Nothobranchius furzeri: one gene and its partner. The protein of the gene in region 1 binds, or shares a complex with, the protein of each later gene. Links are inferred from orthologs where the notes say so. Each region holds a gene or a part of one and is shown in the gene's direction. Other genes may lie near its edges.

Evidence for each region. Proteins that work in one complex are often made in the same cells at the same time.
Region 2: the proteins of kl (region 1) and fgf23 are in contact, whole or in part, in a cryo-EM structure (PDB 7YSH), measured with the Homo sapiens proteins. The link is inferred for Nothobranchius furzeri from reciprocal best matches to the Homo sapiens genes KL and FGF23. Residues at the interface, in NP_004786.2 of Homo sapiens: Phe377, Lys385, Leu389, Glu390, Pro392, Trp417, Phe418, Ser420, Lys429, Tyr432, Tyr433, Lys436, Phe437, Arg468, Ser471, Ile472, Arg556, Arg693, Asn694, Met695, Thr696, Tyr697, Ile735, Val752, Phe755, Asp756, Asn782, Asn783, Leu785, Ile812; in NP_065689.1 of Homo sapiens: Leu39, Met74, Ala80, Val88, Arg91, Leu166, Ile167, Phe169, Asn170, Ile173, Arg175, His177, Asp184, Ser185, Glu186, Arg187, Asp188, Pro189, Leu190, Asn191, Val192, Leu193, Lys194, Pro195, Arg196, Ala197, Arg198, Met199, Thr200, Pro201.

The regions. Positions count from the first base shown.
Region 1 is NC_091750.1:61,952,181-61,957,760, reverse strand, and holds the start of kl (klotho), read left to right. Parts: upstream 1-1,922; 5' UTR 1,923-2,663; coding exon 2,664-3,380; intron 3,381-4,103; coding exon 4,104-4,534; intron 4,535-4,600; coding exon 4,601-4,680; intron 4,681-4,774; coding exon 4,775-4,937; intron 4,938-5,580. Other genes in the region: pds5b (sister chromatid cohesion protein PDS5 homolog B), read left to right, coding at 1,032-1,064. UniProt on the Homo sapiens protein: May have weak glycosidase activity towards glucuronylated steroids. However, it lacks essential active site Glu residues at positions 239 and 872, suggesting it may be inactive as a glycosidase in vivo.
Region 2 is NC_091741.1:43,105,513-43,110,564, reverse strand, and holds fgf23 (fibroblast growth factor 23), read left to right. Parts: upstream 1-2,416; 5' UTR 2,417-2,580; coding exon 2,581-2,815; intron 2,816-2,895; coding exon 2,896-2,999; intron 3,000-3,416; coding exon 3,417-3,875; 3' UTR 3,876-3,995; downstream 3,996-5,052. UniProt on the Homo sapiens protein: Regulator of phosphate homeostasis. Inhibits renal tubular phosphate transport by reducing SLC34A1 levels. Up-regulates EGR1 expression in the presence of KL. Acts directly on the parathyroid to decrease PTH secretion. Regulator of vitamin-D metabolism.

The DNA.
Region 1 (5,580 bases):
ACACTTAAAGAGAAAGCACGTCAGACAGTTGAATGAAACCGAGTCTGACTCACCGAGGTAAGATTTAAATAACACGAAAGCCAATACCTTTTGTTTTGGATGTACACTGTAAATTTTTTTTAAACGTACTTTCGCTTTTAAAAAAGAGAGATTTAATGTTATGCCCGACTGTGCCTGACAAAAGTATTTTAATTTTATTTATGCATTTATGTCTGTACTGACTGGACACTGTGCCTAATTGGTGTTAGACAGGGCATTTTATCTACTGTTAGTATGAATTGGCCTATCTATCAGCAGCAACGTTCAATAAAATATACATTTTCCATTGAAGTACCCATCTTTCTTGTGTTTATTATCATTTTTCACACAATTAAAGCAATCTCATACTAAATTTGAAAAAATTTTCATAATTATCCGATTAGTCGACTAATCGTTTCAGTAGTCGGTGACTAGTAAACTATTAAAATAGTCGTTAGTTGCAGCCCTAGTGTGTTCCATTATTTCCGTCTGAATGCCCTGAATGGCTGCACTCGGCTTCATATTCTCACTCATCAGAGCAGGAAACATTTATAGAAGTAAGGGTTGCTGCTGTAAAACAGATTTTTTTGTGTCGTTTATGATTAAAACAATTTGTAAGATCTATCCTTAACTTAACTTTTTTATTTTTCTATTCGCTACTGCCTAGTCGGTGTAATAAAAACTCAGGTAGAACCCGGAGGACAAACAAGGAAATGGTGTCAGGCGGACACGAAGGGAACAGGAAGGTAGACACCGGGGTGGAGGAGAACATCCGGTACTTTCTCAATAAAAGACGACGCGCTAGTTAGATTTGTGTTCATCGAAAAAGAACATTCTGGACAATATTTGTCATTTTACTGGATTGTTGCAATAACAAATATGTTTTCTTATAGAATCGGTGTATTTGTCTGCTCATACATGAAAAAGATCACGTTACCGTACTTTTATAATCTGTAATTAATTTGCGATTAATCGCAAGTAAAATGTCTTTTTTTTTTTTTATTGTCTTTCAGGGTCGTAAGAAGACAGCAGGACGCAGAAGATGAGCTTTGGAGTAAAATTTAAAAAACAAAACACAACGATTCTTCTGTCGTCAAGGAAACCGTTTCAGGAAAGGAAAAAAAACCCATGAACTTTGAACTTTTTAAACTTTTCATATGCCGATGTTCCCGCTGTTACACACTTGCATTTACCACATGCACACCACATCAGAGCGTCCGCATGGTCAGCTGTGGCTCGTCGCTTCGTGTTGCATTGTGATCATGTTCGCCACGTTAGGTAGAACTCATCTTAACATGAAAAACAAAAACAATATGGTTTGTAAATAGTCTCCTCTGTCTGTTTGTTGTTCTGTTGTTGTGTTTGATGCTGACTGGGGAGGTGCTGTAAAGCCTTTTGGGTTCTGCCGTTATTATTAAAAGCTAAAAAAAAAAAAAGACCGATCACCATCAACTTTTTCTGTGTTAATTGTGTCATTTTACCTTTTATTGGAATGATTTTGTTTACACCTCTGTATATTAAAACATTTCTTCTTCTTTTTTACCATTATTGAAAACTTTAAAAACAAACAAAAAAAAAGCAATTGTAGAGTTGCTTCTGGTTATGACTGTAGTGTGCATCTGATTTATTTGGTTAGATTTGTACTCACTGCTAGAGGAACGTCGTTTGTGTCACTGCTGGTTAATTTGGCTTCACATCCACCCAGTCAGACCCTCTGTTGTAACAATATAATTCTCTATAAAACCAGACCTGCTCGCTTCCTCTTTATTTGGTTTGAAACGTTTAGTTTTTCAGACTGAAAACAGACGTTCTAGTTCTTCAGATCCAACTGCGGCATCTGTCGGAGTCACGCGCTGTCCTCGGGCTGCCCAGCATCCCTTAATAATCCTCTTCCCGTGCTGTAAATGGGGCTGCTCCTGCTCCACGTCGCTTATGCACAAACGCTCCAGTGCGTCCGATGGAAAAACACTCCCGTGTTCTTCCCGTTTGTGATCCGTGACAGAGCCTGCAGGGCAAATTCGCTAAACGATGAGCAGAGCTGGACGTCTGAGGAGTGGTTTGATTATACACTTTAATAGCATAAACAACATATTTGAACACAGTTGGCTCCAAATATTCAAAAAGTCTAATTAGATGTAAATGACTATGGCCTCTCAGAGAAAGAACCACTTTTTTATTCTAAGACATACCCACCACCTCAGGTATTTATACTGATGCTGTGATAACCTGGGATGGGTTTGTGTTCCCTAGCAACCATCTGACTCATCACATTGTCTCTGATGAGATTAGGAATGTAGATTTAGTTATACATGTTTTGCAGATGGATTAAAGCTATGATCTGTTGATGGGTTCACATTAGAGGCTTTGGCACCTGCTCTCCAGGAGATTAGACTGAGATTAAAGGCTCAATATGAGCAGAATAGAATAAAATAAAGTGATCGTGCCTTATTTTGTCTTTGTGGGAGCCTTAACGTCTTGTGCCCTGAGCCCTTCCTGCGTCAGGTGCTTTGGTTAATGATTGACAGGTTCACAGCTGGCTGCTCGCGCGTCGCAGAGGTCTGGTTAGTCACCAAAAAGCCACCAAGCATGGTGGAGTGTGAGCCAGCTGAGGACCCGGACTTCCACGGCCAGTAAGAAAACCAACCATGAAGGGGTTTGTCGCTGTTCTCACATTTGTGGCCTTCGCTGCTGTTGGCGCAAAGCCCAATGCGGGTCTGAAGACGTGGAGCCGCTTCAGTAAACTTCCCTATCCGGGAGACAAGGCTTTTCTCTACGACACGTTCCCCGGGGACTTCATATGGGCCGTGGGCACAGCGGCGTACCAGGTGGAGGGCGCGTTTGAGAAGGACGGCAAAGGGCTCTCCATCTGGGACACTTTTACGCGCGGAGGGAACCGCATGGCCACCGGGGACGTGGGCAGCGACAGCTACCACAACATCCACGCGGACATCCGGGCCATCCGCCAGCTCGGGGTGACCCACTACAGGTTCTCCTTGTCCTGGTCCAGGATATTTCCGAACGGGACGCGCGGGAGTTATAACGACATCGGCACCAGCTACTACCGGACGCTCATCAGGAGGCTGAAGGAGGTCCGAGTCCAGCCGGTGGTCACGCTTCATCACTGGGACCTGCCCGAGCAGCTGCAGCAGACCCTGGGCGGCTGGAGCAACCCAGAGATCGTGGGGATATTTGAGGATTACGCAGATTTTTGCTTCCATGCGTTTGGGAATGATGTGAAGTTCTGGATCACCATAGATAACCCGTTTGTGGTGGCGCAGTATGGCTACGGAACCGGGGTGGTCGCTCCTGGGATCAAGAACGACCCTGATCTCCCTCTCCGAGTGGGACATAACTTACTTAAGGTGGGTATTGATTTAAAAAATGTGCTGTTTTTTTATTAGTCACAAAAAGTATCTGTTCAAAAATCTAATTTTTTATTCAATTTTCCTTCCATTTAGTATCTTGAAAATAAATTACAAAAAAAAATGTTTATTACTATGATTTTTTTCCCATTAAAATAGTAAAAAGCACTAAAATATGGCCAGGGGCGGTTCTACATTTACATTACAGGGGGGCCCGACTGCTTTGTTGGAGAGGTACATCTGTATGAAAAAAAATAATAATAAAAAAATGTGCCTTTAAGTATTTCAAAAATGTGTGTGTAATTCCAACAACATAATAATTCATGGTTGCTTTAGATACAACAGCTTTTCAATACCTTTCCAAATTTAACTATTTTGCAAAACTACATTAACGTCTTGGTAATCTGCATCAGAAAAAACATCAAAGTGTTTATCTTAACATCTCTTTTCAACTAACCCCAACCCCCATATAATTGCATTCACATGCTTTTTCTCCCCACATCTCATATTAGGCTACATTAACACAAAAAAATCTGCACTTATTCAGCAGGGAGGCCACTGGGGCTCCAATCTTTTCTGTCATTTTCATGCTTTTTTTTCCAAGTAAAAATAACCATTCAGATTTTACAGTGTAATTTATTATGCACACAGAACTTTTTTTTTAACTTTTTGACCTGCATGTAAAAGTTTATTCTTTATGTATCTCTCTTGTCTCTGCTGCAGGCCCATGCAGCTGCATGGCACCTCTACAACCGCCGCTATCGGCCTCGGCAGCACGGGAAGGTCTCCATGGCTCTGGCCTCCCACTGGATCAAGCCCAGCCGTACTCGCCTGGAAAGCCTGCGGGAGTGCCAGTGTTCCCTGGACCATGTCCTGGGCTGGTTTGCACAGCCGCTGTTTGTAGATGGAGACTATCCAGCCTGCATGAAGGAGAGGCTGGGTTCACGGCTCCCCTCCTTTACCCAGGAGGAGAGGGAGCAGGTCAGAGGAACAGCTGATTTCTTCGCCCTCTCCCATGGAGCTACCCTGAGCTTCCAACTCATCAACGACAGCCTGAAGTTTGGGCAGCTGGAAGATCTGGACCTGAGGATGCTGCTCTACTGGGTCAACGAAGAGTATGACAAGCCACCCATCTTTGTGATGCAAAGCGGTTGGTAGGTTAGCACACGGACATATCCGTTTTAGTTTGGGTTTGTGTTGAACTTGCGTTTGTTTTCCAGGTATGTCCTCGGTAACACCAAAACGGAAGATCCGAAACAAATGTACTACCTCAAGAGGTTCATTGCAGAGACACTTAAATGTGGGTCCATCGGATTCCACCAAACTCATCGAACTGTCTCGTCAGACGTCTCTGAGGTCAAACTAAAGCCTGTGTGAATGTGTTTGTCGTCCAGCGATCGTCGTTGATGGAGTGAATGTGATTGGATACACAGCCTGGTCCCTGATGGACGGCTTTGAGTGGCACAGAGAGTACGGCATCCGACGTGGACTTTACTACGTCGACTTCAACACTCCTGACATGAAGAGGGAGCCAAAAACGTCCGCCACCTTTTACAGGTACATGTGAGGGCCAACACGTTTTGGTGTCCAAGCAGAAATCCTGAGGTTTCTCTCAGATGGCACCACCCAGAGCATCTCCCTGTTTCTGTAATACTGCTGGAAACGATGCCTCTCATTCGTGAACACACATAGTTACTGTTCTCATGTTATGCTGTTTATTACTTCATAATTTAAAGACTTACTTGTCTATAAAGAAGTTCACCAACTCTGCATCTATTCAACATCCGAGTTGAACGCAGAGACCCTTCTGTTGTTGAAAAGCAGGTCCAAGGTAAATGCTTCACTGCATCTGTACGTAAGCCGATGTCTAATTCTACTGGCTAATGCTAAGCAGCGGTGAAGTGAAACTGCATGGAGCTGTGCGAGATGTGCTTGTAAAAAATGAATAACCGACGTGTTGCCTACATCATATCACAGTAAAGGTTTAGATTGTTTTATTGTGTTTGTGAAGTGCCTTGTGAGTTTCATGTTGAAAGCACTATAAAAAAATCTTTGTTCTTCTAAAAACATCAAACTGACTCAAATTATTTGAACTTAATATTTTTCCTTGATGCTCCTCTTCTTCTTCTTCTTCTTCTTCTTCTTCTGACTGACAAGTGTCAACTATATGAACAAACCAACAGATTATATTTATGTAAAT
Region 2 (5,052 bases), on another chromosome or scaffold:
TGCAGGCAGGAACCTTTTTGGATTCCAGCTGTAACCTGCAATCTTCCTCCTCCTATTTCAGCCGTTTTTAGTTCAAGGTCAGAGTCATTGATCAGCCTTTGCCTCAACCTCTGTGGCCACAGGGTGGTCTGCAGTTTGAAAAAGGAATTTAAAACATCTTTTTGATTAATTTTAGCTGCTTTAGATGCTTACTTCTATGAATTTCAAACACCACCAGCTACAAATGCAGCACATGTAATTTGCTCCTTTTAAGAAGTGCTGGATTTGGGATATTTCTAAGGAGGAGACTTCTGCAGAGTTCACGCGGTGAACGATGAGCTGAGCCACGCAGATCTGAACCTCACCTCTGCCGCTGCAGGCCTCCCCTGTGATACCAGCGTCAGTCCTGACCCCACAACCCCACATGCTGACGCTATCACACGCTGCTCGCCTTGTCTCCGTTTATGCAAGCACAACGGCTACGCAGCGATGCCAAATCTTAAAAGCAAACAAAAGCTGCTGTTGAGGCTGCATGTAAAAGCACTAATGTACATTTTTAACTATGAGTTACATGAAAATGCTCTTTATTTTGAAAGCTGTATACTGTGTGGAAGTAAACATCGTGAATGCACGCTAATGAGGACTTCATTTGCTCATGTCCAGAGGCGTGTCCAGGGAGTGGCCTGGGGTAGCACATACCACCCTTGGAATCTGATTGGCCACCCCAGGTGCCACCACATTAATTTACCTTTAGTTAGGCTTTTCATTGTCCACAAAAGGCTTGGGGGTAAAACAAGAAAAGCATAACCATTGGTGCCACCCATGCACAAAGTTGTGCCTCACCTGGGCCACCCCATTTTAAAAGATCTGGACACGCCACTGCTCATGTCACCTCTCCAAGATGTCTGGTTTTGCACCTTATTTAGGACGTCTTGATTATATATTTGATTCTCCTTTCCACAGCTTATCCTAGGTCAGATTTCAATAAGTCAAGGTGAGGAATAACTTCTTTGATGTTTGAATGTATATCAGCATGCCTGAGTCCAGAGCTTGACTAGGGTGTGTGTTCTTCATGTGTTATTTTTACTTTTTGGACTGAGCCTCCACTCTATTCCTCTCCTCTGTTCTCATATACCTCACCTTCTGCCTTAGTTTTGGTTTGCTAATCTCTGTAAAATGAGACGAAACAAATTTTAGTTACATGTTTCTGATAACAGACGATGCTAAGTAAAGTTTTGTTCCTTTTATTTTTGTACGTATGTGCTGTGCACAGCAGTCTACTGTATATTCCTGAAATACCAAATAATAAAAGTTTGTTTTTCTTTTTTTAACTGGCTGCTGGGAGTTTGTTGTTTCTGTGGTTTAACTGGATTTGCTGACCTTGAACTGAAAGATGTGAGTCACTCATTTAATAAATACATTTGTAGTGGTCTCTAGGAATTAATCCAAGTTGTACTCTGGGGAGGAAAAACTGACCGTTGCACCATTTCCAGGAACTTGTAAACGATAACGACCTGCACTTGTACTGCTTCGTTCAGAGTCAAAGGTAGAGAGGTGGTAGTGATCCACGGGTGAGTCCATGAATGTTGAGTGACAGTGTGATGCAGATCTGGCAGTTTCACATCTCTTTTCTATCAGAAACTGATGCAGGAGATAGGTGTAGGAGACTATTTTCATGTTCAGCCTGCATGAAAAACTCAGAGTGACCCATTATAATCAGAAATAATCATTAAAAATTGGTTTTTAGTGTTCCACATTTTTAAATCATGAAAAATTAAAACATTTCAAACACAAAATATTAGTTTAAATTTTTAAAACAACAAAGACCCCAAAATACATGCCAAACATAAAATTTACAACAAAATAATTTTTAAATCAAGTCCTGTCCCTAATTTACAAAACAAATGTAAGGTTAATTAACAGATTAAAAAATCTTTCTGACTTATTCCATGAATTATAACTTGTCACCATAATAATTTCCTGCATGAATGAACCGTTTATAAGAGGGGAACAGACTAAACGCAGTTAGGTTTCCAGTGTGGCAGCTTTCTGTAAAAGATGCGTCTGTTTGCTTTCCTCCCAACAAGGAAGTGTCGCCATCTGCTGGGTAAAAAGTGGAAACGTGGATGAGTGCAGGTGTGCAGAAAAAGCAGAGCTGGCATAAACAACTATTTTAACTCTTTAATTATAGAGCTGTCACTCTTGGTTGGGGAAATAATCCGCGATGTGATGAAAAGCCTTTAGAGGTTTTTTTTTTCCTTTTGAAATATTACACAATGCAGCTTCCTGCACTCCGAACTAAAACCTGAAGCGGTGGTTTAATAAGAAACGGTGGATGAGTCAAGAAGAGAACCCAAAAATAAAAGTCTTGATTTTTAACCAAGATCATGAAATAAACAGAGAGGTGGAAGTGGTCCTTCCGCTGCTGAAACCCGCACCTCTGCTTTGGGGGCGAGTTTCTTTTTCTTTTCTTTTTTTCCGCGCAAAGGATGTGCGCAGGAGTGGCGCTCAGATGGGCTTTAAATAGGTACTGTCACCAAACTGTGGCACAACAGAGCATCCGAGCGCTTCCAGCAGTCCAAACCAGCGGTTTGATCCAGGATGGACGTCAACAAGCGACTGGGGATGAGAGACACGATGCTGACGCTCTTACTCGCTGTCCTGCAGGGACTTCCTGTCGGGGAAGCGGCACCGAATCCGTCTCCGTTAGTTGGATCCAACTGGGGGAACCCGAGGAGATACGTTCACCTGCAGACCTCCACAGAACTCAACAACTTCTACCTGGAGATCAGATTAGACGGGTCTGTGGGCAAAACTACAGCCAGATCTGCATTCAGTAAGTTGATATTTGGATGAAAATAATGTAGGTTTATAGACCAAGGTCAGGCTGCTAAAAGTGTTTTTTTTCTCTCGCAGGTGTAATTCTAATGAAAGCTGAAACAAGGGAGCACGTGGCCATCTTCGGTGTCAAAAGCAACCGTTACCTGTGTATGGATCAGGAGGGGATTCTGTTCAGCTCGGTAGGTGTTTCAAAGTTATTTTCAAATTTCCAGCCTAAAACCTTATTCTGAGTTTGTTTATCGGTCCTATGTGCTTTTACGCATCTGGCTGTGCTACTTTTACGCATGCGCACCGCAGTTTATTTTCTAAATAACACTTAATTTCTTTAGTTTGCTGCTTATTCATCTTTAAAATACTTCAGTTGAAAGCTCGCATGTAATTTTAGTCGATTTATCAAACCACGAGTTTGTTTCTGGTGTCATTGTGGAGTTTTACGCACAACTTTTACGCACAGGATTCCTTTATTTAAAACGTCGGTTGGATTTATTGGCATCTGAAAATTGAATAAAAATAAATTCAAGGCATTTTTTCCGCCTAAATAAAAGTCAGCAAACATCGATCAGCTGGGGTTTGATGGCTTTCTTTTCCTCTTTTAGCCCATCTGCCAGAGGGACTCCTGTCTGTTCTACCACAGGCTTCTGGAGAACAACCGGGACGTCTACTATTCTACTCTAACCGGGATCCTGTTAAACCTGGAGGGCTCCCGGCAGCTTTACTCTGCGGGTCAGAACCTGCCGCAGACCTCCCTCTTTCTGCCCAAGAAGAACACGGTGCCGCTGCAGCGCCTTTTGCTGCACAGAGACAAGAGGACTCGGGTTGCGGACCCAACAGACCCACACAACGTCTTGATTTGGCAGCCTGAGGACGAGTTGGACTCCAGGGCGGCACAGGAGGACGACATCGACCTGGATGTGGAGGTAGAGTTGGAGACGGAAACAGAAGTCGGGGATGATGGAAGAAACGTTTCCCGGGAGACGCCGCTGGCTCCACACGACCCCTGGAACGTGAACTTATCCAGGCAAGGCGGCGCTCGGAGCACCGGGACCACGGTCTGATCTCGGCACCATGGATGATTTTAGAGTTAATGTGCTCTGCCTGAGTCCAATTTAACAGTTTAGTCCAAACATCCATCTGAAAAGCTGAATATATATATATTTTTTTTTTTGGGTAAAATCGGTGGTTTGTATTGACTTGTAACCTTTTTTGCACATTTTCTTCTGTCTTAAATCTAAAAAGCAACTAAATACGTTCTCTTCCATCATCAGACCTTAAAGAGAGTAATCAATTTTAGAAAAGCTTCTGCATCTTTGGCATCTGAGCATTCATCCAAAATGCTGGAATATCAAACAGGATGGAAATTATTCCTCTCTTTCTCGGTTGGTCTGACAAACCCACAATGATGTTTCCAAGACAGAAGCCTGATTTTTCCTACCTCTGGAGAACTGAGCGGCCTGCTGTCAAACCAGACAGGCATCACTAAAAATAAATATATAATTAAAGTAGAGTAGAAATGACTAGAGTTATAGTTTAAATGTCTTTGTTATACAATCTTAAGTATATTTTAAGAGTTGAACATACTCTCAAATCATCATTATGACTTATTTGCAGTTTGATCTGATAAATGACTTGAAAGAAAATGACTACAGGGTAAATAAATTCTACAGAATATCAAATGTAAACTCTTGTTGTGTGATCAGGTACCGGAAAACAGAGAGAAAGCAGTCTAAAAGAATATTTATTTATTTAAATACATTCCTTTATTGTTATTTATGGTATTTATAATAATGCTTACAGTTACACAGAAACACGAGTTTACTTTGAATGTATGAGCTGGAGCGAGTTTTGCTTGAATGTGCTTTAAATAAAGAAATCCGATTATCATAGGAGCCATTTTTGGAGTCTGTGTGATGTTGTATGTTAATAAAAAAGCTCCTTCATCAATGTGAGATCTTGGTTAACAATTAATGCAATGGATGAATGGATTAATGGATGAAAATAAATCTTATGGCATTGCAGAAGCTTAATCTGCTTAATAGCGTAATCAACGCTAACGGTGGTCCAACAAAGTATGAGCGTGACTTTTTTAGGTGGTGACTTTTCTTTTGGCTAGGCAGTGCATCAGTTACCAGGAAATGAGAAAGGACTCTTGTAAATGTAGAACTAAAACTGCACTGGTTCATAAAATAATAAATTAGACTTTTGAGGATTTTCTTTTGAAAGTCATTCATTTGA